Macaca mulatta: one gene and its partner. The protein of the gene in region 1 purifies or fractionates together with the protein of each later gene. This does not show direct contact. Links are inferred from orthologs where the notes say so. Each region holds a gene or a part of one and is shown in the gene's direction. Other genes may lie near its edges.

Region 1 (4,420 bases):
ATTAGAGTCTGAGGGTCTAAATAACATAAATAATAAATAAGTAAATAAATAGATAGTAGTGTACTCCAAACGAGGCTGGAATAGCTTCTATCGTTGTTTCACGCTGGACTTGAATTAAGTCTGAGTATTTTGCCATGCTCAGTACGAAATACTAGGCTGGACGTGGTGGCTTATGTCTGTAATCCCAGCACTTTGGGAGGCCGAGGTGGGCAGACTGGCTTGAGCTCAAGAGTTTGAAACCAGCCTGGGCAACATGGTAAAACCCCATCTCTACCCAAAATACAAAAATCAGCCAGGTGTGGTGCCACATGCCTGTGGTCTCAGGTACTTGGGAGGCTGAGGCAGCAGGATGACTTTTGAACCCAGGAGGTCGAGGCTGCAGTGAGCTATGATCGTGCCACTGCACTCCAGCCTGGGTGACAGAGCAATACCCTGTCTCAAAAATCAAATAAACAACCCCTTCGCCCCGGACTAAAGTAGTTTGTACTATTTTCTCATTTCATCAAAGTTTTTGAAATATTTCCCTTGAAAGGTAAGTCATATTTATCATTCCTGTTGTATGGAGACATCACAAATTATTTCACCATTCTACCCTCCTTGAGTGTTGTGGCCTTGGGGCCAGGCAAAAACGCAGGAGATGCCTAGAAGCCAACTAGTTGCCGTTTTGGTTATCTGTGGGGTTGTAGCGTTGCCAAACAGGAAAAATATAAAAAGAATACCGAATTCTGCCAACCAAATAAGAAACTATGTGCTAAGGACTAAAACAACTGCAGGGGAAGAAAAGGTGAGGCCAGGGATTGAGGTGTAGCGACTTTCTATGCCCTCAGAAAATTAAAAAACAAGACAAAAAAAAAAAAAAGAAAACTACAAAAGCATCCATCTTGGGCCGTCCTAATTTCTGAGTAACAAATGAGATGCTGTGGCGAAAGTCAGTCATAACCAATGACATTTCTAGACAAAGTGACTTCAGATTTTCAAGGCGTACCTTGTTTACATCATTTTGCCAATTTCGCGTCCTGCAACCGTCGGGCCACGCCCCCGTGAAAAAAAGGCTGTGTTTTTTTCCACATTTCGGGGTTCTGGACCTTTCCCGGCTGCGGGGCGGGGGGAAGTCTGAGGCGCACGCGGCCCCTTGGCCCCGCCCCCAGTCATTTCCTGCCACTCGCGTCCCGAGGCTGCCGCAGGGGGCGGGCTGAGCGCGTGCGCTGTGACTGGTTTGGGGCCAGAGTGGGCGGGGCGCGGAGGTCCGGCCTATAAAGTAGTCGCGGCGCCGTGGTACCGCTTTGCGGCGTAGTCTCCTGCAGCGTTTGCGGTCAGTCTCGCAATATTCGGAAGCAGGACCGCGGCGTGGCCTAGCAAGTCATGGCGATGAAGGCCGTGTGCGTGTTGAAGGGCGACAGCCCAGTGCAGGGCACCATCAATTTCGAGCAGAAGGCAAGGGCCGGGGCGGAGGCTTGTTTGCGAGGCCGCTCCCGCCCGCTCGTCGCCCCGAGCACCTGTGCTAGGAGCGGGTGGCCAGCCAGGCCTCGGGACCGCCCTGGTCCCGCGCCCGGCCTCGGCCCGTGCCGCCCGGTCGGTGCCTTTGCCCCCAGCGGTGCGGTGCCGGCTAAGTGCTGAGTCATCGGGCGGGCCCGGGTGCGGGGTGTGGGACCGAGGCCGCCGCGGGGCTGGGCCTGCGCGTGGCGGGAGCGCGGGGAGGGATTGCCGCGGGGGCGGGCGTGGGCGTGCTGCCCTCCGGGGTCCGTGGGCGGCCGCCGCGGGCTCTGTCGTGGTGCTTGGAGCAGCTGTGCTCCTCCCTTGCTTGGCTGTGTTCTCGTTCCTGAGGGTCCCGCGGACACCGAGTGGCGCAGTGACAGGCCCGGCCCGGGGTGGCGACTGCGCCTGGGCCCGGCTGGTGTCTTAGCATCCCTCTCCGCGTTCCGGCTTCAGCGCTCTGGGTCAGGGAGTCTCCGCTTTTGTACAGCTCTAAGGCTAAGTATGGTTTTTATATTTTTAAAAGGCTTTGGTAAACAAAAATACGCAACAGAGACCGTTTGTGTGACACTTTGCAGGAGTTTGTTGGCCTCTGTTCTAGGTCATGGTTGGGCTGCAAGGGCAGAGAAGGTAGCCTTGGATAGAGGTCCTTTTCCTCCTCCTAAGCTCCGAGAGCCAGAGTTTTAACTGACCGTTTTGGGGACTTTCGAGGGCAATGATTCTTAACTTTGGGTGCACAATTAGCTTATTTGAAGATCTTACTAAAAATACACCAGAGCCCAACCTCAGACCAATTACATCAAAACCTGTCCCAGCGCAGGTGATTATTGCTGTTTTTTAAGTTTCCAAATGTGATTTTGATGTGCACCTACGATTGAGGACTGTTGTTTGAGGACAGTGGGTGCGGTTTGGGATTTGGAAATTGGGAAGACCTGAAGTTTCCATTACACGGAATTGGTACTTAGTAACTCTTGTCGGAGCATTTCTTAAGCCACATTTTCTGTGAAGTGGCTTTAAAATTGCTCTGCCAGTAGGCAGGTTGCTAAGATGGTCAGAGACAAACTTCTGAACGACTCTTGTAAAATGTAGTACAGAAATATTTTCATAACTATTATCAGTAAAATTGCAAAACGTCTTGCAAGGAAGGTGCTTGTGATAACACTGTCCCCAGAGCCTTAGTGAAGTTACCAACTGGTGGAAAATTGTCTGGTACTCGGCTTAAAAGTCATGAGAGAATATTTATCATATGAATGAGATTCAGTCTTTAAAGGGGTTTACAGAAAGGTGAGAGGACAGGAACAGTTAGTCTGTGCAAGTGTCTGAAATGTGTATGAGGGAGATACGAGTTTAGCTTTTTTCTTTAATACGTCTCCAGATTTTCTGGAAAAGGTTCTTTGGCATTTGACTCCATTTTGCTATTTCATTTGTCAGACTTCGTTTTGTCCCTCTTTACTTATTCCCACATAATTCACTAGTACTAGTGCTGTGTTTTGTTTCTGAGACCGAGTCTTGCTCTCTTGCCCAGGCTGGAGTGCAGTGGCGCGATCTCGGCTCACTGCAACCTCCGCTTCCTGGGTTCAAGCAATTCTCCTGCCTCAGGCTCCCGGGTAGCTGGGATTACAGGCGCGTGCCACCACGCCCAGCTAATTTTTTGTATTTTAGTAGGGACCGGGTTTCACCATGTTGGCCAGGATGGTCACGATCTCTTGACCTGGTGATCCACCCGCCTCGGCTTCCCAGAGTGGTGGGATTACAGGCGTGAGCCACCGCGCCCGGCCACCAGTACTAGTCTTAAGACGCCTCTGTGGAATTCCTTCTCCCTGGCCTTTGAGAGTCCATGCATGAACCCAGGTTTCTGTCATTTTCCACCTTCCCTGAGCAGCGAGCATAGTTCCTTCTTTTAAGCGCCTGACTTCGTTTTGGTTGGTGCCCCTTGTACCTGAGAAAGAGCCTTGGATAGTGGAGCATTCCAGCTTTCCAGATATGCAGAGATAATAAATTGGCTATAAACTACCTGGCGTGGCCTATTCCGTGTTTAAAATCTTAGACTCGTGGCTAGTTTTTACAAATCAGAATCTTTCACCTAATAGTCCAGTTTTCCTAGCTTCTCTTGAAGAATTGTTGGAGATCTCTTCATACTGAGCCTTCATTAGCCCAGGACAGTACTGCTGGAGCTTTCCAGGCCTGTGTTACTCACTTGAGTTCACAGCCTGGTCCCTGTAGGGTTGTACCTAAGCACAGCTACTTACATGTTCCCAATGTATTACCCGTTAAATGGAGGTTTGAAAGAACCTCCTCTTTTTGGCCCTGTGCTCTTGATAACACAGCATATTTGAGGGACAACTTTCACATTTGAGTTTTTCCAAAATTAGAGGTTGTAGAAGAGTCACAGTGTCTATTCTGAAAAAGAAAAGAATTTTTTAAAGGCCGCAATTGCCAGAATCCTTCGTTTGAGCAGTGGTATTTTCCAGTGGAAAGTCATGTCTTAAGGGTTAATGCCCCTTAACTGTTGTCCCTCTTTGAAAACCAAGCTAAAAACAAGAGACACAAACATGTATGACGGTGTGGTGTGGATGCTGTGTTTATTTTAGTCCTGAGATCTACTCGTAACGTCCTTGATTTCTGTATGTAGCCACGGAGCACCATTACCTGTCACCATTGCCTGAATGGCGATACTGCTTGCTTTCTTTTTGGTAGAGTGGAAAGGTTATCTAGGTTTCAGTGCTTGAAAAGATTTCAGAAAACAGTAGTACCTCTGGTTAGACTAGAATCAGTCCTCTCCTGAGGGCAGTGAAATAGGATATTTTCTGACTGCTAATTAAAAATACCTATGATAGCCGGACGTGGTGGCTCACGCCTGTAATCCCAGCAGTTTGGGAGGCGGAAGGGGCGGATCACGAGGTCATGAGATCGAGACCATCCTGGCTAACACGGTGAAACCCCGTCT
Region 2 (3,802 bases), on another chromosome or scaffold:
GGCCTGTGCCCGGAGGCTGAACTGTTAACAAAGCCCTAGGACCAGAGGGCTTCAGGGCTGACCAGGACCTGCAGCTTCCCAGCAGGAAGTGCAGCCTCTAGCCCCTTTCCCAGGCAGGGGGCTGGCTTGTGGATTATTCACATGGGTCTTAAAAGACCTGAATGAGTCCCATCTCTAAGATGTGATTTTTGCACTTTCTATTGCTCAGCAGCCGCTCAGTGATTAAAGTGAGAGTCTAAAAAGCCAAGGGGACTCCGTGGACCCAACACTCCCAGGCTGGACGGCAGGTTCTTGCTTTTCAGCCCCACCTCAGCCCCTGTCTATAGGCAGAAGGGGTTTTTATTAATACATGATTGTAGCCGTGTAGAAGATGAGATTGTGTGTCTTGCTCTGAAAATTCTGCACAAAAGCCTGTTTCCTAGTTGCTACACAGCCCTCAAACTGCCCATTTCTAAAGCTTTCAAGTAGCCCAGGTGATGCAATTGGAAAGCCCAAGGCCCAATTTTTCAGGCTACCACACCTGGTGTGTGGAGGCTGCTGGGAGGTCTGTGGTAACTCCATGAGCCTCAGTCCCTTCCTCCCTGCTCCATGCGCTCAGAGACCCCTGGGTGCTGAGAGGGCAGGGTGCCCTTCACAAGTGGGCAGGGTCCGGGCAGTCCCGTCGGGATGTGGGGTCAGTTGTAGGAGTGCCGGCGCCCCTCAGCTGCTGAGTCATTAGACTCCTGAGGACCACCAGGTGGGAGCTAGGCCCTGCCCGACAGCAGCTGCCCGCCGCCTCGGTGCTAGTCTTGGGCTGCGTCTTCTGTGCTGGATCTCTCCTGGGCCCCTCCTTCCTTCTTACTCAAGTCCAACCCAGATATTTTCAGTTGCCATGATTCTGAGGATCTGGTGCCCCTGGGAAGGTGCAACAGTCCCCAGCACCCCCACCAGCTGGCCCAGGCTCCAAGCTGCCAGCAGTGGCTTTCTTGAGATCCTGTGTCACCCTCCCAGGGAACAAGAGCGCATGGCTGTCTGATAAGCCAGGCCTGTGTGACTCCTCGGGACATGCACCCCCCGGGTCCCTACACAGCTGAGCACGATAGCTCAGGAGTGCAGGGCCGTGATGCATGTGTCTGTCTTCTCTCCTGGGCCACAGCCACCCTACGTCATGCTGCAGCGCCGCAGAGATCATGGCTGTCCTCTTTTTCCACACCATGCGCTACAAGTCCCAGGACCCCCGGAACCCACACAATGACCGCTTTGTGCTCTCCAAGGTAAGAGCCCAGCTGCCCACCGCCAGCCACACCTTGCCTGGGACTAGGGTCACACGGGCTCTGGAATGGTGAGTGGTCTCTGAGGAGGTCTGGCTGGGCCCACCTCTCCCAGGTGCCTTCTCCCTGCTCGTCCTGGCCCCTCCCTCAGTGTCCTGCTCTGCTGACCCAGCTGGCTAAGGAATACAGGACTGAATTGATGGGTTGCTCTGCCATGGAGCCCAGGTACATGAACAACGCTTTAACCCAAAGAAATGGAGTAGGGGACTACGGGAACGTCTGTTGTGTGTTCTGCCCAGTCTGGGTGTTGACAGGCAGGACTGGCATCTTGGTCTGGGTTGTGACTCTCTGCCTGCTCTTTCTGTGTTGTGCCAGCGCTCCCGAGGCCACAGCTTGCCCCCCTCAGGGGTAGTGGTATGCTGTAGCAGGGTTTTGGATGGGGACCCCCCTGACCCGCCCCTACTGGGTGGAATCACAGCCACAGACCCCTGAAATCCACCTGTGCTCAGGCCTGCCTCTGTGGCGTCTGGTCTCTCAGGGCAGGCTTTAGAGCTTAGAAGTCTGTCCAAGTTGTTCCCATGCCAGAAACCAGGGATTAGGGCAGCCGGCTGCCTGCTGGGGTTTTGGCTTTGTCCAGCCTCACAGCTGTGCCCCCTGCACCTGTCTTAGTGCCTGCCCAGCCTTGGCAGTGGGAACTTTGGGCTGAAAACCAAGAGGCTGAAGAGGGCTGAAAGGGGAGAAGTGGCCTTCACTTGCTTCCTCCCCTGAAATGGATGCTGCAGTTGGCCGACTCAGCCAGGCCCCAGGGGTCAGTGTGCAGTAGGCACAGCCCCAAGTAGAACCGCTCCCCACCTGACCTCACCCCATGTCCATCTCCCGGCAGGGCCATGCAGCTCCCATCCTGTACGCGGTCTGGGCTGAAGCTGGCTTCCTGCCCGAGGCGGAGCTGCTCAACCTGAGGAAGATCAGCTCCGACTTGGATGGGCACCCGGTCCCCGTAAGTGCTCCTGCCAGAGCCTCTCATGCCTCTGCCTCCGCTTCCTGTTTCCCAGACATGCGGGACCAGGGCAGGGGGTGCCCACTGAGAAGCCAAAGGTATTGAAAGGCGGAGGAGGGCACTGAGACGAGGAAGGAACGAAGCAGGTGTTTTGGGCGCATGTATTCACCCCAAGCTGGTGCCAAAGGGGAAGGCCTTCTGAGGCCTCAGCCAGGGTGCCCTGGGATGACTTCAGGGAGGGCCTCTCCCCAAGCTTCCTTCTGTGCTGGGCCTCCTTGGCTGGGTAGCTACAGCTTGGGAAGAAAAGGGGCTCTCTTCTAAGGGGGTGGCTCTAGGATGCTGGTGACGCTCTGGGGAGGGAACCCGGTTTGTTCCTTGGGGTGCCAACTGGCATCCCTGCAAATGTTAAGACTTCAGGGATTACCACAAAAACTGTCATGTGGTCTGGGTCCCCACAAGGGCCACATGTTCTATGTCAATTTTTTCATGATTCCCTCTCCCAGCCCTTTGTGAAGTGGGTGATGTGGGAACTGAGGCTCACAGAGGTTCAGCCCCCGGCCTGAGGCCTAAGGCCACGTAGCTGGCTAGTGGGCAGGGCTGGGATTTGAACCTACAACTATAATTAGTTCATTAGCAGAAGAAGTCACATGCTGGGTAGAGGCTGCCCTGGGGCGTGACCTGCAGGGGAGGGGCTCGCTGGGCTGGGTGGGAGTGTGGCTCCAGGGGCGGGTGAGACCAGGATCCCTTCTCCTCTCAGATTAACTGTGGCCTTCTGTTATGACAGAAACAAGCTTTCACCGATGTGGCCACTGGCTCCCTGGGCCAGGGCCTTGGGGCCGCTTGTGGGATGGCCTACACCGGCAAATACTTCGACAAGGCCAGGTAACATGCCTACTCCCCACCCCCACCCTGGGTAGTTTTGGGGAGTGGTCCTTGGGTGACCCACCCTTCACTGCCGCCCCCAGACTCTTCCTCTTTCCTGGCTAGGGCAGAGTAATACATACGCGTGGCCTCTTTTGCTCTTTAAACATCTGCTATGGCTGGTGCCATGACCGGCCCCCTTTACAAATGAGGAAACACTCAGGAGTTAAGGGACGTGCCCTGGGTCAGCAGTGACTGGCAGGGCTGGGTTTGCACAGAGTGCATGCTCCCAATCATGTGCTCTTCAGCCAGAGTGCTTAGGCTGAGGACTTCCTGTTTTGCCCCCAGCCCTGTGCCCAGACCCCAGAAGTCTCAGAAAGACCTACCCCCAGGCGCCTGTCTCACTAGGCACCAGGAGCCCAGGCCTGAGCCGCTTGCCTTTATCTTGGTAAAGGGGAGAGTTGTATGTTCTGGGGGGTTCTGGGATACCTGTAAGCCACCTCCTGTCAGCAGGGAAGAAACAAACATTTGAGAGATTGGGCCTCCAGAGGGTGGGTGGTAAGCCTGACTAGAAAGGTGTGCTGCTCCAGTGCCCACCAGGTGATCGGTAGGAGCAGCCCCCCGTGGCCCCCAAGGAAGGTTCTAGCCATAAGTTAGTCTGTGACGGTCAGATATGGCCTGGGGGGATGAGGTT

Evidence for each region.
Region 2: the proteins of SOD1 (region 1) and TKT purify together in Homo sapiens (affinity purification with mass spectrometry; 3 studies listed by BioGRID, with this or other methods). This does not show direct contact. The link is inferred for Macaca mulatta from reciprocal best matches to the Homo sapiens genes SOD1 and TKT.

The regions. Positions count from the first base shown.
Region 1 is NC_133408.1:15,681,574-15,685,993, reverse strand, and holds the start of SOD1 (superoxide dismutase [Cu-Zn]), read left to right. Parts: upstream 1-1,362; coding exon 1,363-1,434; intron 1,435-4,420. UniProt on the Homo sapiens protein: Destroys radicals which are normally produced within the cells and which are toxic to biological systems.
Region 2 is NC_133407.1:116,824,474-116,828,275, reverse strand, and holds part of TKT (transketolase), read left to right. Parts: intron 1-1,135; coding exon 1,136-1,253; exon of another isoform or gene 1,254-1,288; intron 1,289-2,089; exon of another isoform or gene 2,090-2,115; coding exon of another isoform or gene 2,116-2,133; coding exon 2,134-2,247; intron 2,248-3,031; coding exon 3,032-3,129; coding exon of another isoform or gene 3,130-3,160; intron 3,161-3,802. UniProt on the Homo sapiens protein: Catalyzes the transfer of a two-carbon ketol group from a ketose donor to an aldose acceptor, via a covalent intermediate with the cofactor thiamine pyrophosphate.